2 linked regions of the Alligator mississippiensis genome follow. The protein of the gene in region 2 interacts with the protein of the main gene of each other region in a pairwise test. Links are inferred from orthologs where the notes say so. Each region holds a gene or a part of one and is shown on either strand. Other genes may lie near its edges.

The links.
Region 1: the proteins of XRN1 (region 2) and ZFP36 interact in a two-hybrid assay, tested with the Homo sapiens proteins (2 studies listed by BioGRID). The link is inferred for Alligator mississippiensis from reciprocal best matches to the Homo sapiens genes XRN1 and ZFP36.

What each region holds. Positions count from the first base shown.
Region 1 is NC_081838.1:1,298,402-1,314,287, reverse strand, and holds ZFP36 (mRNA decay activator protein ZFP36), read right to left. Parts: upstream 9,019-15,886; 5' UTR 8,791-9,018; intron 7,819-8,790; exon of another isoform or gene 7,698-7,818; 5' UTR 7,551-7,697; coding exon 7,515-7,550; intron 5,992-7,514; coding exon 5,131-5,991; 3' UTR 3,695-5,130; downstream 1-3,694. UniProt on the Homo sapiens protein: Zinc-finger RNA-binding protein that destabilizes several cytoplasmic AU-rich element (ARE)-containing mRNA transcripts by promoting their poly(A) tail removal or deadenylation, and hence provide a mechanism for attenuating protein synthesis.
Region 2 is NC_081830.1:56,411,246-56,426,485, forward strand, and holds the start of XRN1 (5'-3' exoribonuclease 1), read right to left. Parts: upstream 5,991-15,240; 5' UTR 5,896-5,990; coding exon 5,821-5,895; intron 1-5,820. Other genes in the region: serine/threonine-protein kinase ATR, read right to left, coding at 9,453-9,626, 13,126-13,231. UniProt on the Homo sapiens protein: Major 5'-3' exoribonuclease involved in mRNA decay. Required for the 5'-3'-processing of the G4 tetraplex-containing DNA and RNA substrates. The kinetic of hydrolysis is faster for G4 RNA tetraplex than for G4 DNA tetraplex and monomeric RNA tetraplex.

The sequences.
Region 1 (15,886 bases), on a different chromosome or scaffold from region 2:
CCCCCAGGCCAGGATCGGGGGTGCTTGGAGCTGTACGGCCCCCCCCCAGGCCAGGATCGGGGCTGCTTGGGGCTGTACAACCCCCCCTAGGCTGGGATCGGGGGTGCTTGGGGCTGTACAACCCCCCCCAGGCCAGGATCGGGAGTGCTTGGGGCTGTACAACCCCCCCCCCCCCCTCAGGCCAGGATCGGGGGTGCTCGGGGCTGTACAACCCCCCCCCCGGCCAGGATCGGGGGTGCTCGGGGCTGTACAACCCCCCCCAGGCCAGAATCGGGGTGCTCGGGGCTGTACAAACCCCCCCAGGCCAGAATCGGGGTGCTCGGGGCTGTATAACCCTCCCCAGGCCAGGATTAGGAGTGCTTGGGGCTGTACAAACCCCCCCCCCCCCCCCCCGCCCGGCCAGGATCGGGGGTGCTCGGGGCTGTACAACTCCCCCCCCAGGCCAGGATTGGGAGTGCTTGGGGCTGTACAACCCTCCCCCTCAGGCCAGGATCGGGGGTGCTCGGGGCTGTACAACCCCCCCCCAGGCCAGAATTGGGGTGCTTGGGGCTGCACAGACCCCCCAGGCCAGGATGGGGGTGGGCACCAGGCCCTGTCCAGCCCCCAACATAGCATGATCCCCTTCTCCAAACAGGGGACACATACAGAAGGCTGCCCCCCACCCCCGCCCCCACCCCCGCCTGGTGGAGCTGGGAGCTGAAGAGCCCAGAAGTCCTGGCCACTCGTCCCCACCGCCGCCTCCTTCCCTTGGGCTGGGGGAAACTGAGGCAGGCCCAGGCCCCAGAGGGGTGGGGTGGGGTGGGGTGCACCCAGCTCAGCTCACCGCCAGGTTTCCCCCAGCCCTAAGATAACCGCTAGGCCACCCAGCCATCAGGGATGCAGCCCCCCCACCCCCACAGTGGGGGGAGCAGGGTGGCCATCAGGGGGTTTCTGAGGTCTTTCTTGCCCTCCCCTGGACCCATTTCCCCGTCCCAGGAAGTTGGGTCTGGAAATGCGACTGAGTCTGGGCTGGGTGGAGGAGCAGGCAGCAGCAAATAACAACACCGCCCCTGCCCCCCCCCCCCCCCCCCCGAGGCCTGTGGGTTTCTCACGGGGCCACGACAGCCTGGGGCAGTGGTTAGCACTGACTCAGTCGGCCCCAAGGGAGCCTGGGCGCTTTGGGCCTGGGAAGCGATTAGCGCTAACGAGGCTTTGGCCTGCTCAGGGGGTTGCAAGCCCTGCTGTACCCTAGCAGGGAGGGGAGTGGGATTGGGGGTGCCCGGTGCTGTACGCCCCCCTCCCAGGCCGAGAAGGGGGCAGGGGAGGAAGGGGCTAATGGCGGTGACATTGGGGGTGCTCTGAGCTGAGGTTTTAAGGCTGGAGACCCAGCACCGGGCAATGGTGTCCCATCCCCATCTCAGCACCTCTGGGCTGGAAGGGGTTAAAAGCGGCAGAGGGGGGGCCAGCCTCCTGGGCTCCTGCCCCCAGCTCTGGGGAGGGGCAGGGCGGCCCAGTGGTTAGAGCGGGAGCTATGCCGTGCCTCAGTTTCCCCACTCCAGCCCTGTGCTCACTCCTTCCCCACGCTGGCTTCCATCCCCCCCTCCCCCCAGGGCTGCCGCTGTCCTCCGTGACCCCGGCGCTTCCCTCGTGACTCATCGTGCGACTCGTGCGAGGCCTCGCACGGGCGGTGTCACTGGGCCTGGGACCCAGAAGCCGCCCCCACTTCCTGTCCTACTTCTCTGTGCCGTGACGCTACCGGCTCCACCCCAGAGCTGGGTGCAGCGCCGCACGGGGCCAAGGCGGCTCGGGGCTGCGAACGCCAGGCCGTGTTGTACTCAGCTGCCCTGCTCCACCCCAGAGCTGGGCACATCGCAGCACAGAGCCCTGTTATACTCAGACCCCCTGCTCCACCCCAGAGCTGGGCGCATCCCCTAGCTGGCGAACGTCCCCCAGCCCAGACAGAAGAGGAATTAACCTCTGACCCTTGGCCCTGGGGCCCTGAATTGGCCAGAGGAGCCCAGACTGGGGTTGCTAGGGAGACCGCTCCCTGCCCTCCCCAAGGGTAAACTGAGGCACAAGGTGCTTGAGGAACGCAGGTGTCCTGATTGCCAGCCCGGTGCGGGGGGGGGGGGGCAGGGGAAGTGAGCAGACAGATGGGCCCCATCCGCGCGAGCCCCTCGTAGGAGGCCCCATCCTTGTGCAAGACCCCCTTGGGCAAGACCCGCCCCCTCGTGCTCACGTCAGCGCACGGGTCCAGCTCGCTGCCTTTTAAGGCTGGCGGCCGGGCCGGGCCGGGGGAGGAAGAGGAAGAAAGAAGAGGAAGGGGACGGGGTGGGGTGGGGGGGCTGGCAGCTTACAGGCCCTGTCGCCCCCACAGGCACAGGCATGAGCTCACAAGCGCCCACAGCTGCCTTCGCACACCCGGGCGGGGCAGGTCCCAGCCTCCCCCCACGCGAACATGTATGTGACCTCAGGACCCATCTTTGGGGATACGAGGGGACACACATGGCCCCCCCCCCCCCAAGTATCCAGGTCATGTATACACACACACACACACAAGCCCTGTGTTCAGGATGAGCGTGCACACACACACCCAGACCCTGGGAAACGAAGGGGCCTCTTCTCCTTTCCATTGAAAGGGGAAGCTCGAGGCCTGTGGGGGCGGAGGGGGGGGGGGGGCTGCATGTTCCAGACACCTGGGGTTTCTGTGGGGGGGAGGCTGGGGGGCACCGGATGTCCCTGCTCGGGGCCTCGCACGAGGATGACATCACTTTTTCCAGCCCCGGAAAGTTTGGGCAGGAGATGAACATGCGCCGCGCCGGACGCCCGGGTTCGGGGCAGCGGGTAGAACCGGGGGGTGGGCGCCACATGCGCGAGGGGGGGCCAGGAGGCCTGGGGAGGGCAGGCAGGAGGATGCAGGGGCTGCGTTCGTTCAGGGGGCTCGGGCCCAGGCCCCCGCACACGCCCCCGGACAACGCGCAAGGCTGGGCCTCCCCAGCCCTGGGCTCCATGCACACGTGTGTGTGTGTCCTGGACACCCGGGTTGTGTGCGTGCCCGTGTCCCGCATACCTGGGTTCCAGGTGTGCATGTGTGTGTTCACGGCCAGAACCTAGACACCCCCCCCACCCGGTTTCAGGACCAGCCAGGCCGGTTCCCAGGCAGGGCGTGGGGCCGTCTGTGCCCGCCGCACCCCAGTGGCGTCAGCATGACGTGGTTGGGGCCTTGGTGCGGCTGAGGCTGGGGCGCGGCCCACGGAGCAGTGGAACGCCCCGCGCCTCAGGCCTCCACCTGCAGCTCTTCCCAGGGGGCCTACACACCTCCTCTGGGCTTGAGACACCCGATTCGCCCCCATCCACCCCTCCTCCCCAGGGATCCTCCAATGCACAGGGGCCCTAGCGAGCACGGCGTCTGCTCCTCGACCCCCCAGACCACCCCCAGCCCCGCCCAGCTCGGCTCGGCCCCTGGGCCCCGGCTGAGCCCAAATTATATATGCATACATACACACGTATATGTATATACACACACGTACACATACATATAGATATATACAGATAGAGAGACAGACAGACAGATACACCTATGTGAGAGAGAGAGCGAGATACAGACAGACACCAGGCAGCAAGAGAGAGACAGAGGTAGAGACACGTGTGTAGGGACAGACAGACACGTCGAGAGACGTCCCCCCCCCGCATAATAAATCCCGCAGACACCAGGTTCTTGTGGGTTGTAAACATTATATTTCTCGCGCGACAGCTCCTAGCACTTTTAACACAGAAAATAGACTGTCGAGTCATATATATATATTATTTTGGTAAATTACAAAACAACAAATGAAGCCCCCGAGAGATAAATAGCATATAAAATTCTGTCTGAAATAAATAAGGGGCTATAAATAGGTCGGGGAGGGGGGGGGTTCTTGTTCCTCCTGCCCGGTGAGAGGCTTGGATTTAAAAAACGGACGCGTGGGAGGGGGCAGGTTTCGGTACGGGGGCGGCTGAGCTTGCCCCAAGTGAGTCGGGGACGGGGAGGGGGTCCGAGTTCAGATCTGTGGGGTTAAGGCACATTTCAAAGCCCCCCTTTTCTGGGGGGAGACCCCCAAAGAGGCAGGGCCTTGAAAAATCCCCGAGGGATCTTGATTCAGAGACCTCATGATTACGCGCTGGGCTCGCGATTTCCCCCTCCGACGGGCTCCAGTGTTTCAGGGAAGGGGGCGCGGGGGCGGCTATTGAGATACCCCCCCACATACACAAACCCCTGCTGCGACGGCAGGGAGGGTGGCGGCTGTGACCGGGCTCAGAGGTGCACAAACCCCGCCAGGCCTGGTCCTTTCCAGGCCCCTCCTGGAGGATACCAGGTACCCTGGGGAGGGGTGGGGGGGGCGGGATAACCGGACTGGACCCCTGGGTTTTGCCCAGAACGACATTATCTCGGGACACAAGGGCTGATCCCAGGGCCAAGACCCCCACCAAGGGCTCCAGGTCTCATCCTTCAAGCACGTTCAATGCAGCCGTATTTCCTGGCCTACGACGCGCCCTTCATGTATAACACACACCTCCATTCAGTCCCTGCTGCCATGGTGGGGGGGGGGCAGGGGGAACCCCCAGTGTCCCCCAATGCTGGAAGCTGATTTTGGGGGGGGGGGGGGGAGGAAGGTGCGCGTTGTAGGTGAGAAGATACGGTACCGACCCAGGCTCCGCCAGGCCCTGCCTGGGAGATTCACAGCAGGTGATGGGCAAGGGGTGGCACAAAAGGGGCAGGGGGGAAAACACGGGAGACCCCCCTCTCCAATGGGGTCTCCCCAAAAATGCTACATACCAGCTACAATCCAGCCCCTGGCAGGATCGGGACCCCCACGCACTGGGCGGGGTGTGGGGGAAGTCCCCCTCTCCAAGGCCAAAAGGTGGCATCAACAAGGCACTTCCATAGGAGTGGGTGTGTCCGGGGGGAAGCCAGCCCCCCAAAAGTAAGAGCACCCAATAAGGAGTGGCCGTGGCCCCTGCCCCGCCTCCTTCCGCCAAGGCACTGGTGAGCTCATGAGGATGGGGATAGGGGGGATCTGGTCCCCGGGCACATGGGGAGCTGGGGGGCACTAGGTTTTGCCCCCCATGCCCCGTGCAACATCTGGATCCACAGCTGGGGGGGGCGGGGGCTCACTCGGACACCGAGAGGCGGTTGAAGATGGGCAGGCGCCGGGCGCCGGCCCCGCACGTGGCAGGCGGCTCGAAGACGGGCGACTCGGAGCCGCTGCTGTCGCCGTCGCGGTCCGAGAGCGAGGTGGACGAGGGCGCCCGGGGCAGCAGCGCCAGCAGCTCGGGCGGCGGGTTCGACACCAGCGAGTCCCAGGAGAACGGCGCCGCGTGGCCCAGGCAGGAGCAGAGGCAGCCCCCGCTGCCCAGCGGGGTCTCCCCCAGCGTGGCCCCGCGGCACACGGGCGAGGGCGCGCGGGCGAAGCCGGCCGGGTCGGGCAGGCCGGGCGGGGGCGAGGGGCGGCGCTGCGGGGTCCCGGAGTAGCTCAGGCTCTGGCGCAGCGGGGGCAGCGCTGGGGGGGAGCTGCCGGACCAGCTCCGCTCCTCGTCCAGGTGGTGGATGAAGTTGCAGCGGGCGCCGTAGGGGCACTGGCCCAGGCGGTAGAACTTGTGGCACAGCTCGGTCTTGTACTTGGGGTGCCGCGCCAGGGCCCGCAGCTCCCCCGGCCCGTGGGCGAACTGGCACTTGGCCCCGTACTTGCAGCGCCCGGTCTCGCGGAAGGTGCGGCACAGCTCCGTCTTGTAGCGCGACGACGGGGCCGGCGGCGGCGGGGAGGCCGGGGGCCGCAGCGGGGCGAAGCCGGGCGGCGGCGGGGGCAGGCTGATGGAGCGGTCAGCTCGGAAGCTGGCACCGGGGCCCCCCCGGGCGGGCACGGGGCTCCAGGGGCTGCGCGGGGGCCAGGCCGGCTCCGCCGGGCCGGAGCAGGAGGACGGGCGGCGTCGCGGGGCCTCGTCGTCGTCCGACAGGCAGGCGCTGTGCAGGCTCTGGGGGGCGAAGGGAGGGAAGGGGTCAGCGAGGAGTCGGCTTGGCCCCAGCCCCCCAGCAGGGCCTGGTGCCCCCCTCACCTATGCAGCTTCTAGCACTGCCCCCACTACCCCAAACCCTGCAGGGACTGCGGCATCGGCCCCCCCCACCAACCCCAGGGCCGGGGGCAAGGACCCAGGCGTCCGGGCGGGTTATTTCCAAGCCGCCGAGCGGAGGCTGGAGCTGGGCCCGGCTTCCGGCCGGGCCCCGGGGAGGAGGGAAGAGCCATGACGAGGCCTCGGCCGAGTCTTGGCCCCTCTTAGGCTGGGGGCGGGGGGGAAAATCAGCTGCGATAGCCCAGAGCAGGAAGCGTGTGTGGGGGGGTGGGGGGGCAGCAACAGCACCACAAACACGCACAGCCACAGCACAACACACAGACACCTGACTGACACGGACACACACACACAGGCACAGGTGCGTGCCTGACACACCAGAAACACACACATCAGAGATGGGGACAGAAGGGGGACACAAGAGACACACCCCAGAGACACGCACACACAAATGTAACACAAAAGACACACTAGACACAGATGTGACACGGAAGGCACACAAGACACACCTGACACGCCAGAGACGCACAACATAGAGATGGACGCAAACACAAGAAAGACACACGCCAGAGACAGGGGTGCATACATGACATGGAAACACCCACGACGCAGAGACCAGCACAAACACGACACCAAAGACACGCGCACGCGCACACGCAGCTTCTGTATCTCTGATTTACTTCGTTTTAAAGGTTCGTCTCTACCTGCTTTCTGCCGCCACAGACATCCAGGACACACGCGCGCGCACACACACACGCGCCCCAGCATCCAGGGGCAATGCACAGACACACAGAACCCAAGTGTTCAGATCTCTCTCTCATGCACACACATCCCAAGCATCCAGGACACACACACAAGTACACACACACACACACAGAACCCAGGCATCTGGGACACACACAAGTACACAAACACATACATGCCACCCCCACCAGCCTACACCAACTTTCCTTTCCAGCTCGGGACAGGAAGAGCCCCCTTCCCCGACCCCAATCACCCCCTGCCTGGGGCAGGAAGATCCCCTTGCCCGACCCAGGCTGGGGCAGAGTCCAGGCAGCCTGTGGGGGGGGGGGGGGAGTAAAGGCCTTGGGGGGGAAAGGAGGGGTCCGGACCTGGGGCTCAGCCCTGCCCGCACCACTCTCAGCCCCTCCAGACAGAGAAATATCCTCCCCCAAAAACCATAGAGGGGCAATTACAACAACCTGCCCCCCCCACAAACAAGCCTACCCCTCTGCCCCGTCCCTAGATCTGCTCTACCCCCCGCCAGCCCCGTCGCCTCCATGCAGCAGAGCTGGGGGGGTGGGAATAGCAAAGAAATGCCCAATCTGGGGGTAACAGCAAAGATTTACCCCTTTTGGGGATCCCCCGGAGGGGCAAAGACAAGGATCGGCCCCACCCAGCCCGGCCGGGCCCCGGCCCCAGCCCCTCACCTCGCACAGGGCCTTGACATCCAGGAGGGAGCTCATGGCGTGGCCGTGGGGGCTGGGGGCTGCGCTGTCAGTGGGACCCCCAGAGAGGAGCAGGCAGAAGCTGGGGTCAGCACTTGGGGCTGGGGCTATATAGGCTGAAGCCCCGCCCCCTCAGCGATGACCTCATCGCTGTTGTAAGAGGCCCTGAAAAAAAAGCAAGCCACCAGAGAATAGGGTAAAACCTGGGGAAGGGAAGGGAAGGGAAGGGAAGGGAAGGGCTGGGCGTGGGGGGGAGGGAGAAAGGGGGGGCCTGGATCAGGATTGGGCCCAGGGTCTGGGCTGAGGGGGAAGGGGGTGGAGAGAAAGGGGGGCCAGGATCAGGGCCACAGGAGCCCCGGGGGATGGGGCAGCACGGGGGGAAGGGGGGGTCTGGATCAGGATTGGGCCCAGGGTCTGGGGAGCCCTGGGGAGGGGGCAACGGGGGGGTAAGAGAGAAAGGGGGGCCTGGATCAGGATTGGGGTGGGGCAGCAACAGCCCCAGACAAGGGCTGGACTGGGGTGGGGGCAAGTTCCCACACCCCTCTAGGGTCGCACACACTTGTGCAAGGTCCTTGATGAGGGGCTGTGTCCCCTGCCCACCCCATGGTCCCTTGGCTGGGCACAACACACACACACACACACACACACACACACACACACACACCCCTGGCAATACGTGCAGCCCTGCCCCTCCCCCTCAGGTACCGGCCGGGCGGGGGTGCGATGAGTTTGCACCAGGCCTCAGCCTGCATCTCCCTGCCTCGTGCCCCCCCACCCCGTGCGAGGCCGCCGGAGCCCGTACGTGTGGCTAGGGGGGTGACTCAGTGCCCGTTCCCGGAACTACCGGGGCCCCGGGGCTCCCCTGGCTTGCACAAACCACCAGGCCAGGGCCCTGCCTGCTCTCGTGCAAGGCCCCTCCAAACCCCGTGCAAGACCCCCAACCAGGCCCCGTGCAAGCTGCCTCCTGCCCCACGTGCGAGGCTCCTGCCCCCACTCCCAGGAGCTCCCAGCCTCAGCGGTGCCCCGTGCCGCGCTCGGGGCTGGACGAAGCAGGCCGGAGGCTCCCCACGACTCCTGGGCTCCGCGCGGGGAGGCGGGACAGGGGGGTCTGTAGTCCCCGGGGTCTCCCCCCCCTGCGCGGGGGGAGCTCACAACTGTGCCATCATCAAGCCAGGGGTGGGGGGGCCCGCTTGTCCCTCGCACGGCCGTGCAAGGCGCTGCTTCCTCGTGCGTTGCACGAGGGGGTCACTCGGGGTACCTGGGGTTTGGTGCGGGGGGGCGCAGGGGGAACAGCTGCCTGCCCCCCGCCCCGCACTGCTGCTTGTGCCCGCACACAGCCCCCGTGCGAGCGCGAGCGTGTCTCGCACGAGGGCACAGGGCACCCGAGCTCCCTGGGACAGCCTCTCCCGGTGCTCCCAGTTTCTCTTCGCCTCTGAGTCAGGTCCCGGTTCCTGGAAGTGAATCACGGGCGCGGGCACGAGCACGAGCCCGAGCCCGGCCCCGCCCGCCCGCCCCGGGAAGCCCCTGGCCCGGGCCCAGCCCCCGCATCTGCCGCCAGCTGTGCACCCGCATCCAGCTGTGACCGGGGGGAGGGGGCACCGGCCTGCCCCCCTTTGCCCGGGTGAATCACGACGTTTCACAAGAGCCGGGATCGGGATCGGGATCTAGGACGGGGGCGTGGGGAGACGGGGGGGCTGAGTCAGCGCCAGTGGCTATAAATAGCCGGGTGCCCCCCCCAAACCAGTGAGGTCGGGGGGGCGGGGGGGCAAGTCGGGCAGGGAAAGGCTTGGGACTGCCGGACACCTGGGCTCCCCCCGCGACCCTGACCCCGACCCCGACCCCGAGCCGCCGCCTGTGCTGGGAATGCGGTGACGCAATCAGGGAAGGCCCCGCCCCCCCGCCGGTCCCGGGTTACACAATGAGCCCCGCCCCCGTGACTCATCCCCCCCCAGTCCCCTCCCCCCCCGCCGACGGGGCATTTCCCAGCAGGGAGTCCGGCTCCCCTGCTCTAACCACTCGCCCGCGCTGCCCGGCCCGGCCCGGGGACGGGGACGAGGCCGGGCCCGGGCAGGAAGGGGTTAAGCCGCGCCGGGGCCAGGTGAGCTGGCAAACAATGAGCTCATGGGGCGGAGCCAGGAGCTGGGCGGCGCGGGGCTTAGGTGCACTACGGTACCGAGAGCCCGGCTGCCCTGGCTCCCGGGGGAAACTGAGGCAGGGCCTGTTGCACAAGTGTTGGGAGCTGCGCGCGCTTCTAGGTGTGCGGCTCTGCCCCTTGCACTAGTGGCTGGACGGGCGTGCACAGCCGCAGCCCCGCTGCTCTGCCCCTCGCACGAGGATCTGGAGCCACGTGGGCAGACAGCTCTGCTTCTGGCACGAGCACCAGGAGCCACACGCTGCCCTGTGCAGGGGTGTCTGGCGCTGTACACGCTCGTGGGCGTGCAGCTCTGCCCCTTGCGCTAGTCACCGGAAAGGCTCGTGCACATGCACGACCCCGCAGCTCTGCCTCTTGCATGAGTGTCCAGAGCCGCACGCATGGCTCTGCCCTTTGCACTAGTGCTGGGAAAGGCACTGTGACCTCCGGACCCCGAACCCAGCGCAGGGCCACGTTGTACAACGGGGCCACGAGTGTTTGGAGACGGAGGCAAAGGGCAGAGGCCGCTGGTCTCCTCTCCCCTCGGCCGGATCCGTGGGACAATGCTCGTGAGCACACGCTGCCCAGGGCCCAGCACTCGCACGACTGGGCTCCTGCCATGCAGCCCAAGGGGGTGTGCATCTCACACAATAGCTGCACCAGTGAGTTGGGGCCTGGGGCACAGAGCAGGGCCCTTCACACGAGGGGCACTAGTGAGTGGAGGAGAGTGCCAGGAGCTGCACGCACACAGCCCCTCACACGAGTGCCAGGAGCTGCACGTGCACAACCAAGCCCTCTGCACAAGTGCCAGGAGCTGCACACGCAGAGCACAGCCTCTTGCACGCATGGCAGGAGCTGCACATGCACAATCCAGTCCCCTGCACATGTGCCAGGACCTGCACCCACACAAACCCAGTGCCTTACATGAGTGGCAGGAACTGCACAACCACAGCCCAGCCCTTTGCTCAGGTGCCAGGAGCTGCACACACGCTGTCAGGCCTCTCAAGTCCTGGCACAGCAGTGAATTCTGGGAAGCCCCCGGGAGAGGTGGGGGGCCCTTCCTCTTCCAGGAACCAGGCGCGGCTCCGGCTTCCTGCTCCAGGCAGCTCCGGAGCCGGAGCTGGGAATTCCCCTGCTCCCAGCCTGGGCAGCGGGAATGTCCCCAGCGCTGGTGCATCGAGAGGCAGCCGGCCCGCGCCCCCGCTCCCCGCCACAGCCCCTGGCCTCGGGGGCCAGCACCGGGAGGCCTCGTACGAGGCTTTGCACAGATCCAGGGCAGAGGTTGGGGCCCTTTGTGCGAGGACCTGCACTCACTCCAAGGGCAGGGATTGAGGGCCCTCGTGCGAGGGCTTGCACTGATTCCAAGGGCAGGGATTGAAGCCCCTTGTGAGAGGAGTTGCACAGACCCAGAGGTAGACAGGGCCTTTCGTGCGAGGCTTTTCACAGATCCACAGGCAAAGAGCAGGGCCCCTCACACAAGCCTCCGCCTGCCTCCATTGTGCACGTGTGTGTGAGTGTTGTGAGCGTATCTTCCGTGTGTCTCTAGTGAGCACACATGCATGCCTGTGCTAGGGAGGCGCATCACATGTGTGTGCGTGCATGTGCACGCACAAATGTGGACATCAATGTGTCCCAGGTTTGCCTTGTGCATGCATGTGGAGAGGGGGCAGTTGCATGTGATACATGTGACAGGCGTGTGTACAGAAGAGCATGTGCACAGAGGTGAGCGCCTGTGTGAGCACGTGTGCATGGGCATGGGGCAAAATGATGGGGCGTGCACATGCCTGGGGGCCTGCACACAGGCGAGGGAGTGCATGCACACGCTGTAGCACAGGCCGTGTGCACATGCATGTTGATTCATACACATTTGAATCATGCAACCAGTATGCACACGTGTCATGCAGGACACGTGCATAGCACATTGGGGGAGAAGTGTGGGTGCCCAAGTGTCATGCAGGACAAGTGTGTTTAGCACATGGCAGGGAGCACCACTGTGTGCACGTGTGTCACTCAGGACACACACTTAGCACAACAGGAGGCCCCCCGCTGTGTGCACACACATCGTGCAGCACACACATGCTTAGCATGTGGCGGGCACCTGCTGCGTGCGCACACGCAGGACACACTTGCTCAGCACATGGGGGGCAGGGAGCACCTGCTTCAGGCCTACGCACACAGCCTGGGGGCTTGCACACGCTTGTGACTGAGGTGGGCACGGGGCCCTGCCAGTGGCGCTGCCTGAGGGGGCACCAGTGAGTTCCCGGTGCCCACCCTGCCCCTAGCCCTTCGGCGCCTTGCCCGCTTGGTTCTGCTTTTCCAGGCTGTTGAAAGCCCCGTTCCATGGGCGTGAAAACCCCTGTGACGCCAGCCGGGCGTGCGAGCGCTCTCGCACGGGAAGTGGCATGTGAAGCCCGCTAGGGGACGGGGGGGCACAGGGAGAGTTAATGGGGTCACAGGGAGCAGGGGTGTGCTGGCCCTGCCCCCTGCTGCGCCAGCCATGACGTGCGCACACGCGTGTGGTTCACGTGGTGGCGCTTGCTTGTAAACACTGGGGGAGGAAGGGGCCAGCCCGGAGGGGACTGAGGGGCCCGAGCGCCCGGGTTCCCCGTTGTAGTGGGGTGGGGATGGGGGGTCCAGGCGCCCGGGTCTCCGCCTTGACGGTGCTAACGGGAGGGGGTTGGGGGTCCCTGCCCTGGTGGGTGGGGATGGGGGGTCCGGGCACCCGGGTCTCCGCCTTGACGGTGCTAACGGGAGGGGGTTGGGGGTCCCTGCCCTGGTGGGTGGGGATGGGGGGTCCGGGCACCCGGGTCTCCGCCTTGACGGTGCTAACGGGAGGGGGTTGGGGGTCCCTGCCCCGGTGGGTGGGGATGGGGGGTCTGGGCACCCGGGTCTCCGCCTTGACGGTGCTAACGGGAGGGGGTTGGGGGTCCCTGCCCTGGTGGGTGGGGATGGGGGGTCCGGGCACCCGGGTCTCCGCCTTGACGGTGCTAACGGGAGGGGGTTGGGGGTCCCTGCCCCGGTGGGTGGGGATGGGGGGTCCGGGCACCCGGGTCTCCGCCTTGACGGTGCTAACGGGAGGGGGTTGGGGGTCCCTGCCCTGGTGGGTGGGGATGGGAGGGCTCCCGGGGGCCCGGGTTCCCCTCCAGCCCGCTCGCTGGGCAAGTCCCGGGCCCGGTGACGTGGGCACAGGCGCAGCGCCAGCCCCGGCAATGCTGACACAGGCCTTTGCGCTCTCGCACCCGGTGCCAGGACAACACGAGCCGTTGCCCTGGCAATGCCGGCGTGTTTGTGCCAGGAAACCTGGACCGGGGCCAGGGGCAGGTGGGGAAACCGAGGCAGCGGCGGGGAAGTGGCGGGGTGAGTCAGGCCCGACCGCTGGTGCCCAGAGGGGACTCGAGGACACTCTGCTCCCAGAGCAGGAACAGGGCCCCCAGGCGCGCGGGCTCCCGGGCCCCGACCCGTTCCAAGGGGCCTGCACCCCACGCTCGCACACGTGTGCAAACGCCCACAATCCCCGACCCCCATCACAGTTACAGCCCTTCGCATGGGGGGGCTGGGATCTCCTGCGAGGGGGCTGCCTGTTCCACCTGGGGGGGATCAGCCCCTTCCTTGCCCCTTGTTGCCCCCGGGGTGGGGGGGGCACGGGGGGGAAATGGCCTCCAGCAGCCCCAGAAAGCCCCGGCTTGCAGCAGGGAACAGGCTGTCCCCTGCCGTGCCCCCCGCCCGCCGCCCAGAATAGAGGCAGGAAATGAGGTCAGCGGCCCACGGGGAGCCGCCGTGGCCTGGCTCCTGTTTGCAAACAGCCGTCACTGCCTCCCCCCCACGTGCTCACAACTGCCCCTGCGCACTCACTACTACCCCTTGTGCACTCAGCACAGCCCCCCGTGCACCCAGCACAGGCCTCATGCACTCACTACTACCCGCTGAGCACTCACCACTGCTCCCATGCACTCACTATTGCCCCCCTGGGTGCTCACTATTGCCCTTCATGCACCTACTACTGCCCCTTTTGCACTCAGCACAGCCCCTGTGCACTCACCACTGCCCCCATGAGCTCACAACTGCCCCCCGGGCACTTACGACTGCCCACATGTACTCACTACAGCCCCCTGGACACTCACTGGGTTTCCTCCCCAGCTCCCAGAAGGCTGATCCAGCGGTTCCAGGGCAGGGGCTGAGTCAGGCCCTGGGCTCTTGACGCGGCGCCAGGAAGGTCAGCGAGTCCAGTGGTTAGAGCGCAGGGGCTGAGTCAGGACGCCTGGGTTCGGTTTCCAACTGTGGGAACGGGGGGGGGGGGGGGAGGGCAGGAGCCCGGGTCCCATCCGCAGCTGGGGGTGGGAATCAGCACCCGGACACCTGGGTCCCATTTCCCTGCTGGGCCCCTCTCCCCGCGTGCCTCAGTTTCCCCACTCTTGCAGGCCTGGAGCGTGGCTTGAGCCCTCCAGATTTACACCCCAATGAGGGCCAAACCGTGGTCTCTTCCCCCCATACAAGGACCCCGCCCTGCATGCAGATCCACCCAGAATCGGGCCCTTCTTGCGTGTGTGTGTGTGGGGGGGGAGCATTGTTCCCTGCTGCCGTCACTTGGCAGACACCCCCTTTTTCCAAGAGCTTTGGGCTGGGGGGGGAACAAAGCAGCTGGGAACAGGCTGTTCCTGGCTGGGCAGGGGGTCAAGCCTCCCTCCTCCCCAGTCCCCGCCTGCCCGGGGTGGTTTCCCTGGCGTGGAAACGGGCCCAGCCGGGGCAGGAAGTGGCAGAAATTCTGCGGTGATGCAACCACCCGGAGAACTGGATGTTCCCTTGGCCCCAGCCCAGGTGGGATTTGAACTCGCCTCCTCCTGGCTGGCACTACAGTCCCCTCCGCCCAGCCCTTTGCTGCAGGCGGCCAGCATAAAGACCACCCCCCCAGCAGGGGACAGAAGCACCCCCCCCAGCCCGCAGGGCCTAGCCTAAGGGAGAACCAGGAAACTGCGGCGGGGCAGGATGGATCCCAGGTGTTCAGGCTCTCCCCTACTCCCCAAATTGTCAGGGTGCCGCCTAAGACAGGGGCTGTACAACAGTACTCCTCGCCTGGGGGGCCAGGGAGGAATCCAGGTGTCTGGACTGGTGGAGGTGGGGTGACCCCTGGCGCCCGGCAGTGTATAATGGGCCTCACTGCTTTCCCAGTTCAGTCCAGTCTGGTCCAGCCCAAGGGGGGGCAGAAGCTACAGGGCCCTGCTCACCCCTGAAACTGCGCCCCCCCCCTTTGGATGCCCCCAACCCACTGCCTGGGTCCGAGAGTGCCAGCACCTCCTGGAGCCTAGCTCGGGAGGGCTGAAGCCAGGGGTACCCCCTGTATGGGGTGCCCGTACAGTGGGGCGGTACAAAATATACAAGGTCTGCATATGGGGTGGGGGGCTATATACAAATGTGTGCACGTGTCTACGTACAGGGGGCATCTCTGTGTGTCTATATATGTGTGGGTGTCTGTATATAGGGGGTTCTATGTGTATAGGCACATCTGCATATAGGTAGGTGGCTCTGTATGCATATACACATACATATGTATGCATACATATATGTACATACACACGTACACACACTACATACATACATACGTACGTATTTGTATATGTGCATACACGCGCATATACATATGCAGACACAACCCCGCGTGTGTACATATAAGGGTCTATACCTATAGCGTGTGTAGGTCTGTCTGTATAGGGGGAGCGCTGTACACAAGTGGGTATATCTGCGTGTATGGGGGGTGTAAGTCTGTTTGTATGTGGGGAGTTCTGTAGTTAAGTGGGTGGTGGATATATACATTATATAAACAGGTATGTGCGTGTGTATACACATATATACATACACACAGGTGCGTCTACGAACAGGGGTGTGCGTATACAATGTATACATAGGTCTGTATACAGGAACCTCTGCATATGAGCGGGTGTGCTTGCACGTATGTGCGTGTCATGTACAGGGGCGTATGCATGTTGTGCGTGTAGGTCTGTGCCTGTATAGGGGGAGTTCTGCATACAAGTGAATGTACCTACACCAATAGGGGGAGGTCAGCGCATATATATACTCACCCGTTATAGGTGTGCACACACCAGGGTGCATGTTCATATATGGGGTATCTGTACGTACACCAGGGTGTATGTGCGCACACAATGCTTCTCCCCAGGCCTCAATGCTTGAGACCAGCAGCCAGTGCCGTTGGGGGGGGGCAGTGAACACA
Region 2 (15,240 bases):
CAAGGTTGAGCAGTGTTTTCTGTTTAAAAGCAAGTATTCTAAATAACATGAGAATCTACTATGCACAGGGTTAAAGGTACAGAAGGTACAGCATTAAAGGCACAAATCTGGAGTCATTTGAGCAAAAGATTAAGATAGAGTCTACCTAAACTAACAGCACTTTGGTTCTTATCCCATTCCATGCAAATCCATGGCTAAAAATGTCTCCCATCATCACTGAACTACGGCTTGCATTTACTTTAACTGAAGCCAGTTGCCCCCTGCTTCAGAGAAGCAGCACTGAAATTAGTCTAGCCCTAAATGTCAGTTTGTGCTAACTACAGAGCTAAATAGACTGAACACAAGCAAAAGTAACTTTATATTAATGGACAGAGTTTTCTGACAGTCTGATACACAGTGATCAGTGAATCGGTGCACTGATGAATTCCACACTATTGGCAGCCTCTGCATATGTTCGAAGTTTTGCCCCACTATCAAAACTCTTACAACAAACAATATTTTGAAGTGCTCTAAAATCCACATGCAAATAGAGGGAAGATGAAAGGACAGCAAAATCATATCTCCTGGCATGATCAACAGAAAAACAAGGTACTGAGTCATGTGTTCAAGGGAGTTCCAATACACAGCCTTATGACATAAGCTGTTTCATAACCTTTTGTTTGGTGCAGAGTGAAGGAATGGAGGATAATGGCAAACTGAAGGGTTACTTAAGGCATATTCAAGCAGTGCAGGGGGGCATGTGTAGGTTGGATCTGGAGGTACAGTGAAGGAAAGGGGAACACAGGAAGGGAAAAAAGATAAGGGGAAAGTGGGGACAGGTAGGTGGAGAACAGTGTGAGAACTAAGGATTTCTCCTCCTCCTGTGTGACAATCAGGATCACAGCAAGCTGCCTCATCTCTCTGCTTCTCTTCCCCCTTACATGAGTGGGGATAATTGCCACCTCTGGTGGAAATAGGAACACAAACTGAGGAAAGGAGCAGTTTACACAGCTCAGAGTTATTGCTGCAATTGTACTAAATCTCAATACAGGCATGTGAACAGTTGAAACAAAGTAGAGTTGGGAAGCTCCAACTTAAAAAACTGCAAATTGTTTTTACAACTGTGTCATGTTTGGTCCTACTCTGACAGAGGCAAAAGAACCACTGCAAATCTGACATGGTTTCAAATGTCACAATTTAGACTTTGTATCCAGCTAGCTCATCTGCCCAACTGCCTTCCTGCGCTTCACTTCATTCTCTCATAACAGGCGACACCAACTCCATTTCTGGTCCCAGGTATGCGAGACCCTGCAGAAGCAGCCTCAGCAGCGAGAACTGCTCTTGCTCCCTAAGGTACAGACCAGGGGTCAGGAAAGGGCAGACAGTGGAAGAGAGTGGCACAGCAGGGTTAGGTCCTGCTATCACTGCCCTTAAGTGGCACCAGTTAGATCGATGATTCTCACCTTCTTTAAGCCCAAGGTCCCCCCCCCCCCCCCCCACCATATCTTTTAAAAGTTTAGAACGGTCTCGGTGATTTTCAACTAGGGTGCTGCAAAATTCAGAAAAGTTATGGAAGGGTAACTTGAAGCCAAAAAAGGTTGAGAACTACTGGTATAAAGATTATTTTTTAGCATTATATCTCAGCACAGGTACAATTTCCTCTGGCAGGGGAACAAAATATGTTTTATAACGAACGAACACACGCACACGCATGCACCCCCCCCCACACACACCCTCCCTCCTTTTTGGGTATAAGAGTAAAGTGTGCCACCAATTTTAATCCAGAAAAAAAGTGTGCCCCAGGTATCAAAAGTTTGGGAACACTGGCCTGTGGATGCTTTCTGAGACAATTCCTTCCCACTCAATACCCTGGAGGCCACTGCCATGAGCCTGCTGAAAATGTCTGTCACAAAAAGACACCTTTGTCCACTTCTGTGGAAATAATCCACAAAATCACTACTGAAATGAGGTATCCTTGATCCTTCATATTATATGTGTACCTCCTGTTATAGTACTGCAACAGCTTTGCTAAATTGCTCCAACTAACCTCTTCATCACTCCTTATAGCTACACCTAATACAATGAAGGCACTGAAAGTACATGGATATAAACAGTGGGATTCAAAACTCTGGCCCATGATCTAAAAGAATATACCATTATTTTTAAGACTACTTATTGTGACATTCCCCATTCCTGAACAATTCCCAGTGACCCTTACCAGTTCCAGGATGCAGAATGAAGGTTATATTGTACTTTCTGGTTTTTATGGATATAAATTTAGCCACTTTCCAGATACAGGAAGGGCAATAGGCATAACTGTGCTAGGTGAAGGCTTTGGGCATTCAATAAAAACCTTTGCTGCTCCTTGCTAAATCAAGTTTTGCTCATGTAGAACTTCCTTTGCCATTTAGAAAATAACGGCCACATTTTATGCTATGTCAGGACAGTTCTTAAAATAGAATTTTTTTTAAAAGTTATCTACTTGTATTTCTACTTGTGGAAAAAAACATCTAACATTAATAAAAATATTTTAAGATATCCTTTCAAGTAAAGGACTCAGACTAAGCTGAGTAATCATTTTGAGAAGCATATTTCTTTCTTTCTGCACTGGCTTGCTAAATAAAGTATGTGAGAAACTATTTTGAGAATTACATATTCAATAGGGAGGAGCTTAATTACTAAAATTTATTGAACCATAGCAAATAGCCTTGTGTATAAACTTGCACTGTTTTAGTTAATTCAGTAGAAACTGAATTAGTAGTCCAGTAGTCCTCTCTAAGTTCTAATTTCAATTTCATTTAAATTTGTAACAAATCAATAACTTAAGCCAAACTAAAATAAGACCAGGTCTACACTTAAAAGTTCTCTCAACACAGGTAGGTCATTTAGGGCTTTTTTTTTTTTTTTTTTTACACAAAACAATGTCCTCAGAAGCTCAAGTGTATATGGAGTTTTACTGACAAAAGTGCTTTTGTTGGCATAGTTTTGTTTTGTTTGCTGAATTCAAATAAGCTATACTTGGAAAAAAAAACAACCAAAATTTTTTTTAGCCTGCATAGCTGTGTCCTACACTAGGAGAGTCTTGTTGCAACCTATCCCCCTCGCTCTCCTTTTTAAAGTATGGTACTATTTAAAAAAAGAAAAGCAACAACAAACTATGTTATGCTCCCGTTTCTTCCTCTCAATTCCAGTTATTCTGAAAAGTATGCTTTTTCTGTCCTACTGATTTGGATAGGGGCCAGCAACCTTTTATAAGCTCCAGGTCAGAACAACCTGGCTCTGACCCAGCGCAAGCTCAGTGACTTCAGTGGCAAGTCAGCAGCAGAGAACTGGGAGAAGCACTGGTGGCAAAGGCACAACTCTCAACTGCCTGGCTGCCACTTTTACCTGGCTACTACTTCTGCCCATCCTCCTAGCTACCTGGCTCCAGCACGGGTGCAGGAAAATCCCCCTGTGCTAATGCAGCACTGAAATCACTCACCTGTGTCATAACAGAGCTAGACGGGCAAGGAAAAGCAGCAGCAGTGCAGGCACTGCTGGAAGCTGCCTGGCCCCAGTGCAACTTCTTGCTACCCACCCCTGATATGGGAACAGGCAAAAACCTCCAGCTCCACAGTACACATTCAGTGGCTCTGCTGTCTGGCTCTGGCCTGCAGGCTGTATGTTGCTGATCTCTGGATCAGGGGAGAAAATTTATGGTTTCATTTTTCCTTTATTCTGCATTATTTTCTCAGCTACTAAAACAAATTGACTCATGTGCAAGGGACGAGGGGATGACATGAGGTTGCAAAACCCACACTTCTCCGTTACAATGACATTCACCTTGACCGTAATACTTTGTGGAGCCCGGTTCCCATTAGATTCTGAGATTGAAGTCTAACAGACATTTACTGAATTAGAAAATATATTTCTTATATATGCTGATGCTATTCTGTTTGGCCAAAGATAATTTTTTGCTGAATAAAAATACACAGTCAGAAGTATGTTAAAGGGTTAAAAGTAAATTTTACTGCACAGAAGAAAAAATGAAAGGACTTAAATACAAAAGTATTAAATGTTTGCATAAACTCAAAGAAAACAATTATAAAATGTGTGTGCTGCATCTGTAACCAAAACTATGCAACATCTATTTGGCACTTAAGAAGAAAGTGAAAGCATTTGCAGAAAGTGAAACACAAACAAAAACTAAACTTGTTAGCTTTCCAGCTGAGCTGTGAGCCAAATAAGTAAATGGGTTCCAAAACAATTCTGACAGTTTCAGATGCTGGACACAGTACAGACATTCCCTCCATCCACCAGGGGTAGACCATATTTACTCAAATCCAAGGGAGGTTTTTCCTCCCCCCAGAAAACCTTGTCTTGGGTGGCTACTCCAGCTCTGGCTCCAGGGGGAAGAAGAGCAGGCAGTGAGGGAGGCAAGTGGCTGGGGGAAGAGGGGCAGGTGGCAGCAGGATACATGACAAGAGAAAGTAGTGGGGGGCTACTGGCAGGGAGACAGGCACCTGAACAGGGATGGGCAAAATGCAGCCTGGGGACCGGATGCAGCTCACCAAGCCATTCTATCTGGCCCGCGGGGCCCCTAAAAAATTCAGAAAATTAATATTTATCTGCTCATGGCTGCTTATCATGTGGCCCTCGATGGCTTGCCAAAACTCAGTAAGCGGTCCTCACCCAAAATAACTGCCCGTCCCTGCACCAGAAGGTACAAGCGGTGGGGTGGTAAGCAAGGCAAGGTGCGAGTCAGGCCACCTGTCCCCTAACACAGTGGGGGGAAGGGGGAGAGGGACAACAACCCAAATTTAAGCCGATCCTCCAATAAATAATTAGATGCTATCCACAGAAAACGATAACAAGTTTATGACTTCCCATGTATAAAATCTAATTATTGGGAGGTCATTTTAAATTCAAAGTCATGTTGAATTCAGATGAAAACAGTAATTTCCAACCTTTTCAACTGTGTAATGATTTAAAAGAAGTATATTAATTTTCAACTGTATAATGATTTAAAAGAAGTATAATACCTGTCAAACCATAGGCTTTCAGGTTGCCCTTATCTAATCACCTGACTGGGGGTGGAGTCTGGTCAGTCCCCAGTATGTCTGAAACTCTCAGTCAGGTCTGTCTGTTTACACCCAAGCAACCTGGCCACAGTGTCTCAAAGGGCTCTTTCAAATTTACCTGGTGCAAACCTCCCCCCCATCCATCCTCCCCCTTACAAGTTACTGCGCCTTGTTTAAAAACAGAGAAGCAAGGAGCACATTTCTGGTAATATCTTTTCTTGGACCAACCACATAGTTGGGAGAGATGGCAGAGCAGAGCAACAGCTTGCCGGGGACCAGGTCTTTCCACAAGGTGCGGGCAACCCTGGCACGGGAACTAAACTGGGAGAGATGCTAGATGAGCTCTGAGCAGCAGCGCCCTTCCCCCGGCCTGGGAAGGAAGCAGCTCCAGACTCGGGCGAATTGCAGATAAAACAAGGGCTGGTGCCCAACCCGGGCCAGGTGCGAGGAGGCAGTCCCTGCTTGAGGGGGAGGAGGGCGGACAGCCAGGAGCCGAGAAGCAGTTGGCAGCTGCCCGGGGCAGGGAGCAGTCACCTGGGTCCACCCCGTGCAGCCTTCCCCCGTCTCCGCCTGCCCCCGCCAGGGACCCCCCGAGTCCCTTCAGAGACCAGCAACGAAACCTCGCGGCTCTGCCGGGCCGGGCTGGGCTCCTCGGGCCCCGCACGCACTTCTGCTGCTTGCCCGGGCTCCGGCTCCAGCCTCCCCGCCCGCTCCCCCTGGCGCCGCCGGGCTCGGAGCCACCTGTTGTGCCCGGGCAGGAGGCGGCCCGCGCCACGCTCACCTGATGCTCCTTGAGCACCTGGCTGAGGCACGGGTACCGCTCCGAGATCCACCGGTAGAACTTGGGCACCCCCATGGCCGCCGCCGCGGGCTTCCGTCCGTCAGGCCGCCCTCGGCCCCTTCCGGCGCGCCGCGCTGACAGCCGGGCCGGGCCGGGCCGCGCCGGGCGCAGGGGCCCTGCGCCACACACACGCGCGCGGGCGGAGCGGCCGCCTGGCGGGGCTCGGGCGCCCCCTGTGGCCTGGGGGGCGCAGGCCCGGCTCGAGCCGGACGCTGCGGAGGTGCCCGGTCCCCGTCCAGACAAGGGGAGGCCGAGGACGGGGACAGACGGGGGGAGCCCTGCGCTGCATTGCAGCGGTGACGCTGGAGCTGTGGCGGGCCAGAGGCCGTGCGAGGCCCGAGCCCCGCCGTGACACCCGCTCCAGCCGTAGCGTTGGCGCACGGAAGGCGCCGGGCTGAGGAAGGCGGCCTCCGCCCCCCACCACCCGAGCGCGAGCGCGGCGGTGTAGTGCAGAAAGACCGGAGGCGGGAGGGGCTTCGAGCATAGAAAGAGGCCAGAGAAAGGAGAGGAGAGATGGCAGCATGGGTATTTCGAGGAAGCAGCCAGGAAGAGTGTGCGCACTTCTAAGTGCAAGTCCAAATCTTAAATTTGCAACTTTTTTGGCCGCCCCAAGAACCTCGATAACGTTTTCAGTTCAGTGGAGTTAGGTACAGGTCCGTCTAACGCATAGGCGACATGGGGGAGGGGGACGGGGACGCGGGCCCGTGCGCCCCCCGCCCCTCCCCGAGATGGCCACTGCCACCTTCTGCAGGTGGTCACTGCTCACCCACCCCACTGCCCACAAACTGCGCCCCCCCCCCCCCCCCCCGAGTCTCAGGAGGCAGCAGTTGTTCATAGTCTAACAGGTCTTATGTGCCCTACTGGACAACGACACATCCATGGTATCCGTAGAACACCTAGCATTCAATTTAAAAACATATTAAATACTAGTCAATTGCCCATCAAGAATGGCAGGCGGGGGCTGCAGGTGAGGACAGAGGCCTGCCTCCAGCTCCATCCCGCACTTTCGGGGCCAGACCTGCTCCCCCTTTCCCCCACGCCCACGAAGGGCCGAGCCTGGTGCCCACCACCCTCCCTGCCACCTTTGTGGAGCCGGGTCCAACCCTCTCCCCACCCTCCTGCCACTTGCACCCCCCCCCCATACCCTCCATTTCAGGGCCAGGCTGGGCCCAGCCTGTCCCTCCACCCTCCCTGCTGCTGTTGTGGGGCTGGCACTGGGCCTGCTCGCCCACCTTCCCTGCCACTTTCAGGGCCGAGCCAGGCCTGGTGTGCCCCCCAACCTCCTGCTGCCATTTCAGGGCCAGACCCGCTCCTCCCAGCCCCCTGCATCAGCCTGGGTCTGCTGTCCCCCCCCCCCCCCCACCACCACTGTGGCAAACCTGCTTCTCCCTGGCCTCTAGACTTGCTCCTCCCCACCCATGTCAGGATGGAGCAGCGTAGGATAGAGAGGGAGGCCAGCAGCCAGCTTCCATATTCACTGCCAGCAGGGAGTAGAGCGGTGGGGGCTGGCCTCACTCCCCTTGCAGCATCCCGAGCCTGTTCCCCCCAACACCACCACCTCCAAGGAGCAAGCAGGGAGGGAGGGAGGGAGGGGGGAGCAGACCTGCCATTCCACCTGCACTGCTGTCACCAACTCCAGGGAGCAGGGCATGGGGGGGGGGGTGAGGTCCCGTGTCCCCCCATCATGGCAGTGCTCTGCCACCACCTGTCTGAACGCTGTATTTGCACTGATTGGTTGTTTCCGTCAGCCAATCAGAGTGCGAATAAAGTGTTATGGACAGACAGATAGACTACAACTTTTATAATATTAGAATTTCTGGAATCATATTTGGGAAAGCTGAAGGATTCACAAGACATACTTACAGATTTCATAGACATTAGGACTGGAAGGGACCTCACAAGATCATTGGGTCCAGCCCCCTGCCCAAAGGACAGGCAGATCCCAGCAAGATAGGCATCCAAGTGTTTCTTAAAGGAATCCAGAGTAGGTGCTTACACCACCTCTGGGAGGAGTCTCTTCCAGGCCCTGGGGACTCAGACAGTAAAGAAGTTGTTCCTTATGTCCAGACTAAAAGTCTTCCAAGAGTTTGTGACTGTTGGACCTAGTCTTCCCATGGGGTGCACACCCCTTATAGGCTGCCACCAAGTCACCCCTGAGCCTACATTTTTCCAGACTGAAGAGTTCCATGTCTCTCAGCCTCTCCTCATAAGGCCTGCTCTCTTGTCCTCTATTCATTTGCATGGCTCTCCTCTGGACTCTCTCAAGCTTCTCCTTACTCTACTTCAGCATCCATTTTAAGGTCTTCTCAATTTAAAGAGGCCTCTAGTCTAGTTTGTCAGGATAATAATGACAAAAGTTGTGCACTATATATCATAGGCGACACGTAGGGGGGGCATGGGAGGGCACATGCCTCCCTGACAGCACTGGTGCCCCGCCTGACAGCGAGCGCTCCGGCTGGTAGGGGGGCACAGAGAGTGTTAGTGCCCCCCTGAAATTGGCTCTGCTGGCAGCACTTCCGCCACTGCCATGCTGCTGGCGTGCTCAGCAACTGTCTGCTGGGGGACACCCCCACACCAGTTGTGCCCTGCTGGTGCCCCCCCAGACTCGTGAGGCACCAGTTGCCCGTGTTATATATATAGCATGGGCTTAAATTTCAACGAAGAAGATATCAGTTAGTGTATTAGGAAGAAGCACCGGCACAGGTTAACTAGAGGCTGTGAGAAACTTCTTGTGATGGAAATTCAAGTGCAGGTTAGACAAGGTTTGCATTAGATTATTTTGAGGATTTCTCCAGACCTATTTTTGTATGCTGTGTTAATATTCTGGCAGATTCTCTGCACTGAGGTAGGGATATGTATTTATCCCTCTACATCCAGATTACCCCACCAACAGACAGATCAAACAGGTGATCTGATGCAGTCACTTAACATGCTTTACTGACCACAGGAAAGCTTTGTTAAAACCCGAAAATGAATATTTTGAAAACATTTTTTTAGATTTGGAAAGCCCCTCTTATAGACACAACTGCAGTTCACAGGTCTACTACTACACTCATACTGTAATGCAGTTCATTTTATACTAGGATGTATGGGCATTCGTATGGTCACACTTATCTCCTTGAAATAGGGAAAAGAAAATTCTCTGAAAATGTGTAATATTTTATAAAATATAATTTACTTCAATAACATAATAGGTTGTATCTTTGCACATTCTGAGTATATATAAAAGGCACATACATCACAAGGACAACTGTACTTTCTATTTAATAGTGAAAGAGTGTTGTACTCTGTATACATAAAACAAAATGTATGTCCCTATGTAATACAAATTTGTATACATGTTCAAACGTATACCATGCAACAGATGCATTTCTATGTATACAGAATACACACCTCACATACTACAACAAACATATATATATAATTCCTTAGACTTCACATTAAGTTTTAGCATAAACCTATGTTCCAAGTCAGTATTCAACAAAGGTAAAAAAATAGCGTGATTAAATCAATTCAACAGTTTGTTTAAAAAAAAAAAAAAAAAATCAGTATCAGTTGTGAACAGCAATATTTCACATGTATGGAGCCCAGCCCATGTACATCTGGCAGAGCAGATTCTCATCACTTGCTTCTTGTATGAGGTAGTGGACGTGTCCTTCAATAGACAAGGGCAATCCTTTTATCCTGTTTCGAGTCTTAATCACACCTTGCAGCCGCTGTTCTATATCAAGGACATGGGTCTTAGCCTGGAAACAAGGAAAAAGAAAAATTAAAATTGTAAATATAATTTTTTTCACATTTTTAAATGAAACAATTCTTGTTTTCCTGAGTCTGCATTTACTCCAAATCCCAAATATGAAAAAAAGAGAGTGAATCATTCTCAAGGACTGGAACTTACCATTCATTTTATGGCTAGAAATTTAGAAAATACTGAATAAGCTATTATGCAAGCCATTGACACAGGTAGTAATTAAATATGTTTTAGCTAAGAAAGTCCTTTCATCATCATAAAACGTGTACGACTCATATACTTAGTGTGTTTACACCTCAGCTGAAGGTGTGACTTCAGTACATGCAGGCACACCTGCATTAGCTTCAATTTGGTTAGTATAGGTCACAACAGCAATCAAAATGCAGGGGGCTTCCGTGCGGGCTGTACAATCTGCTAGGATCTGTCGGGACCCTGGGCAGTTGGCCAGCAGCTCTCCCTGACTCCCACCTGGGCAGATAAGGGTCCGGGGCCTTAGAAGGCCGTCAGGCGGGTACTTGTGACGCTTGGAGTGGAATTAATTAGGCGGACGCTTATCGGTTGTAAAGCAAGATTATTTACTCACACCGTTAAGGTGGTGAATAGCGGAAGTCAGAGATATTTGGTTAGTTATAGCTTAAGGTTCGTAGGTCATAGGTCGGTCTGCATAAGAGTTTGTCAGTCGGGCAGATAAATGGAGAAAAAAAGTCGGGCCGGCAGGTCGTTGATTTACGTCTGATTAGGTCGAAACGGGGGAGACTGACAAGTGATTAATGTGTCAGTTATTCTCATATATACGTTCAGAGGTTTTTCAGGTGTGTGTGCGGAGGTCTCCCATTCTTCACGGAAGTGAAGACGGGTTTTATTTGTGTAATAGCCAATTGCTTTTTGCCACGTCATAAATTTAATTAGAATCGCCAATTATCTAGCGGTCTTCGCTAGGGTGTTATCAGAGGGACACTCCCCTGTCATTCCGACCAATTATAATGATTTATGTACAGCACAGAAGGCTAAGTTCTATTTTATGTTGGTGTCGCAGGTATAAATTTTTTTTTGACATGCGCAGCAAAAAAAGCAGTTACTATCATTATTGTTAACCCTTAGTTAACCTAGCGCAGAAATAAACTGTTTTGAATGGTTTTATTTGTTTGTGACATGGGCACTACTTAATTGGGTTGTGACAGGATCCATGCATATGCTGCCTGCTAACCAATTTTACTATCTTGGAGTGGCATATAGTTAGGCATGTACCTGTCCCAACAAAATCAAATGACAGCTAGTTGTTCTGGGCACAGATCTCCCATAGAACAGAAAGCCTGACACTGCTGCAAACAGGTCTATGCTAAGGCCTCACCTAGAGGATGCAGTCTTTGGTCTTCCCCTCAGCATTCAAACCAGAAGTGCATGTTAAGGGTGCCTGCCTGACTGTTCTGAACATAGTTCTATCACAGGAGGCTTACCACAGAAAACAAATTGTGGTATCCCAGAGCATAACTGCTTTCTGAAACAGGAGAGAAGACCTTACTTTACTCTAAGCACCATTACTCTGGTGCACCTCTGCACTTTCTTTGGAGACCAAAGGTCTTGGCCATGAAATTCTTCATTGTAAGCACCATCTGTTTATATAAAATTCCATTTAGTCAGATCTCTCACTTGGATGACCTCAGATTTGGAAAACTAATACTTTTTACCATTTCCATGAGGAGCAAGGTGCCTTAAGGCAGTTCAAATAAGAATGCAGATTTAAAAGCATTCTTGACGGAGCTGACCTTTAAAGAGAAAATACTGCTCAACTTTAACTACAGCAAAGCCAGTGCTCTACTGTAATGTACTTTTAACATAGTTTTCCCTGCATTATTTCCTAGCTTTAAAAAAATGAAACTGGAAAAACACCTGGAAGTTCCATTATATAGCAACATATAGAAATACATTTGGTTCATCAACAGAGTTGGAAACTTTAGATTGCATACACAGACCTCTGCCACTTGACCTAATGGAGCAGCTGAGAGCAACAGTAGCCTGTCATCTTCTGTATGCTCCTATCTTTTACCACTAACTTTTGCTATTCCCAGAACTGCAATTGCAAGCGAAGATGGGCTCAGCCTAGTTTCAGAGTAGAAAATATTGGATTTGAACAGAGAGCTCAACCAGATAACACTTGCAGTCTCTTCAAACCCTACAGTTTTATAATTCAGCCTTGGGCTGAAGCATACCCAATGTGTACAGAATCCTTTAGGAAGTTAAAGTATCAACATTTAAGACATTGCTATTGAGAAGTTTTGAATTTTGATTTTTTGTCATGGGCTTATAACTTAGTGAAATATGGGCAAATTTTCAGACAACAAAAGGCATATCCCTGAAACAAAAGCTATCCACCTACCAAATTCCAAGTTGTGCTTTCAAAACCAAAATTGTAGAAAATGTTTCTAACATAGGCAAAACAAAATATTTTCCCTTAGACTTGCTCTTAGAAATGGATGAACCACTTTGGATGAAGTTTTCCAAGAACAGCCAGAGGAGAGACCTGGCACAGAAAAATTCAGCCTGAATAATGCTCTGTTTTATTCACATACCACACATCAGGCTCCTTCTGTCACCACCATTTTTCCTCCCCCTGCTGCTCAGTGAACAGCTTACTATCAATTTGGCAGTGGCTGCAAAAGGGTTAAAGCTGTAGCTGTTGGCCCTGCAGCAGAGGGAGGAATGGCACTGATGGCAGAACTCCACCCTTGCTCCACATGGTTGGAAGGGTCAGCCCCAGGTGTACTCTGGGTACTCTGTACCTCTGAGTTGGTGCAGAATAGTCTCTGCCAAGACTAGTTTATACTAGGTAAATGATGATAACAATATTCCTTTATCAGTTAAGAGTCACTGATGATAGAAGCAATGAAAAAACTTGATAGATATAGATCAGGGACAGGCAATTATTTTGGGCAGAGGGATGCTTACTGTGTTTTGGCAAGCCATCAAGGGCCGCGTGACAGGCAGCCCAGGGCAGATAAATATTATTTTTCTAAATTTTTTAGGGGCCCCACGGGCCGGATAGAATGGTCTGGCAGGCCACATCCAGCCCCCAGGACACATTTTGCCCAACCCTGGTATAGATAGTGATAAACTTACCATCACTATGCCATTTAGAAGGTTGGGCAGCATGTTGGAGAAAGGCATGAACCCTATATAAACGAAAGCTTTCTAATGTTGTTGACACTGGTGAAGAACTAGAGGGTCATAATTTTTTTCAGTAAATATAGAACCTTAGAAAATGATACTAAAAAGGTACAGTATGTGTTAACAACATTTTCTATAGTTTCACTATACTTAAAGATAGAATATCAGAAAATAAATCATTTGTTAAAAAGGCTAAAATAGGTTTAAAAGAAAAACATGAAAGTAAAGCTTTCCTTGAATATGAACACAATTTCTGAAACCTATAGATACTGTGTGCTTGAAATAATTAACAGTAGTTCAATAAGTAAACCAAACTTCTTGCAACTCACCTTTTCATTGACAACTTCCCCAGTTTCATTCACCTGTGTTTTTGTATTACCTTTCACTGGTTTACTCCATTCCACAAGAGGATCATGGAGAAAAGTCTTCAAGACGCTAAATACAAACAAAAGAAAGCTCAATGTTTAAATGTTTAAACAAACACCTTTACGAAGTGAAATAAATTTTCTGGTGATTATCAACTTCAGTTTGTCAAACACAAGACTTTCTCTCTCTGCTAAAATAAAATACTGCTGCTTGAATTTCAAATTAATTTGTAATTCTATTTTTCTAGAGCAAAGCAAAATCTTAAAAATAAAAGGCCAGCTATGTTAAATGTCTCTACTTCCTTTGTAGTCATCTTCACAACAACAGTACTAATAATTTCACAAAGATTAACCTTGTCCATTACCTGATCAGTCATAGGCAAAGCACACCCTTTAACCAGAATTTTAAATGGGCTCCTATATCACCTGACAGCAGGTTTTGCAATAGGAAACACTGCATCAGTAAAATTTTCAAGAGGCTCTAAAATAATGTTTTTAGTTAGGAAAATACGCATTAATGCATTACACTGTCCAGAAAAAAAATGAGCACATCTTTTCATGCATCTTTGGTAAGGAATTTATACTTGCTCTGAAGTTAGTGCTAGAATGAGTCAGTATAAGCAGTTTTACCATTAGCAGTCTACAGAAACATGACCTAAATTGGTAGAACCTACGGAAATATAAGGACACTAAAGAAAAAGAAAGCTGAACCTGAATCTTCTCCAGACTCCTAATTTGTATTACAGTAAATCTATCATGGACAAAAAAGTGGCAGGTTGAACATGCAGCAGCAGAACACAAAAACAACAACAAAAAGGAATTCTACCCTAAGCCTCATTGCTTCAGCTCAGAATGAGTCAAGTTATGGTATCCTTTACAAAACAAAACTCTTTCTGATTAAATTGAAATTTTGTATGATTTAATTGACTCCATGATGCAAGTACAGACTGTTGTTTATAAAATACAATGTTTACTCAAATCCAAGACAAGATCACCTCCCCCCTCCCCCGCCACATTTAACAAAGCTGGGGAAAAGCCCCTTGTCTTGGATTTAAGTACAAAGTAGCATGGGGGCAGCTGCTGCTTGTTCCACTGCTGCCTCTGCCCCCCTATCTGCACCACCACCACCTCCCCTTGCTCCATCACCAGCAGGGCTTCAGCCCTGCTTCAGCTCAGGGCACAGAGCATGTGCTTGCTCCAGCTCCCACCTGGTCCAATAACAGCTGTTTTGGTGAAAGCAGCAGCAGCTCTGGATGGGCCCTGGAGCGTAGGCTGGAGCTGCCACCCAGCCAGGCTTGGCTAGCGCAAGAATCTGCTCCTTGCCCTGGGCTGGGGCTGGAGTAAGTGGTAAGCAGTCGGATGAAGAAAATGGGGAATATGTGGAGAGGCAGAGGTGGCATGGAACAAGGTATGACAGGGTGCAAGGTATGCCTGCCCCCCTACTGCAGTGGTGGTGGGGACAAATTTAAGATGACCCTCTGATAATTGGATTCTGTGTATGGAAAATTATAGTAAATTTATAAATTTTCCATATAAATAATCTAATTATTGAGGGGTTATCTTAAATTCAGAGTCACCTTGGATTTGGGTAAATAGAGTACATAGAAACCTGTATTAAGAGCCAGCTCTACTCTATTTTATGCAGCTATTTATTTAAGTTTTTCAAGATTTTCAGTATTTTTGTTTGTTTCTTAAAAAGCCATATAAACAAGGCAGCATTGTTTCTGATGTTCCACTGGGTGATGCTACAAGACAGATTTTATCTTATCTGTTTTGAAGGTATTTTATTCTTCTTTTGTACTCAAAATAAGAAACTGAACCCTACAATAATTTAGACATCCATATCTGTTGCCCCAGGACAAGCTTTAAAAATGTTCACAGGATAGGAAGTCCTAACAGTTTATCTCAGGACATGACAAAGTATATCTGAAGTTTTCCAGATAAATTCTTGGAGCATCCCAGGACATGTGACAAAAATACCTGGTTCCAGTCATAATTGGGGGTTAAGCAGCACATGGCTCCTTTATGGAGGGTGTGACAGGGGGCCTCCCGGGGCCGATCTCCACGGCCTGCCCCCTG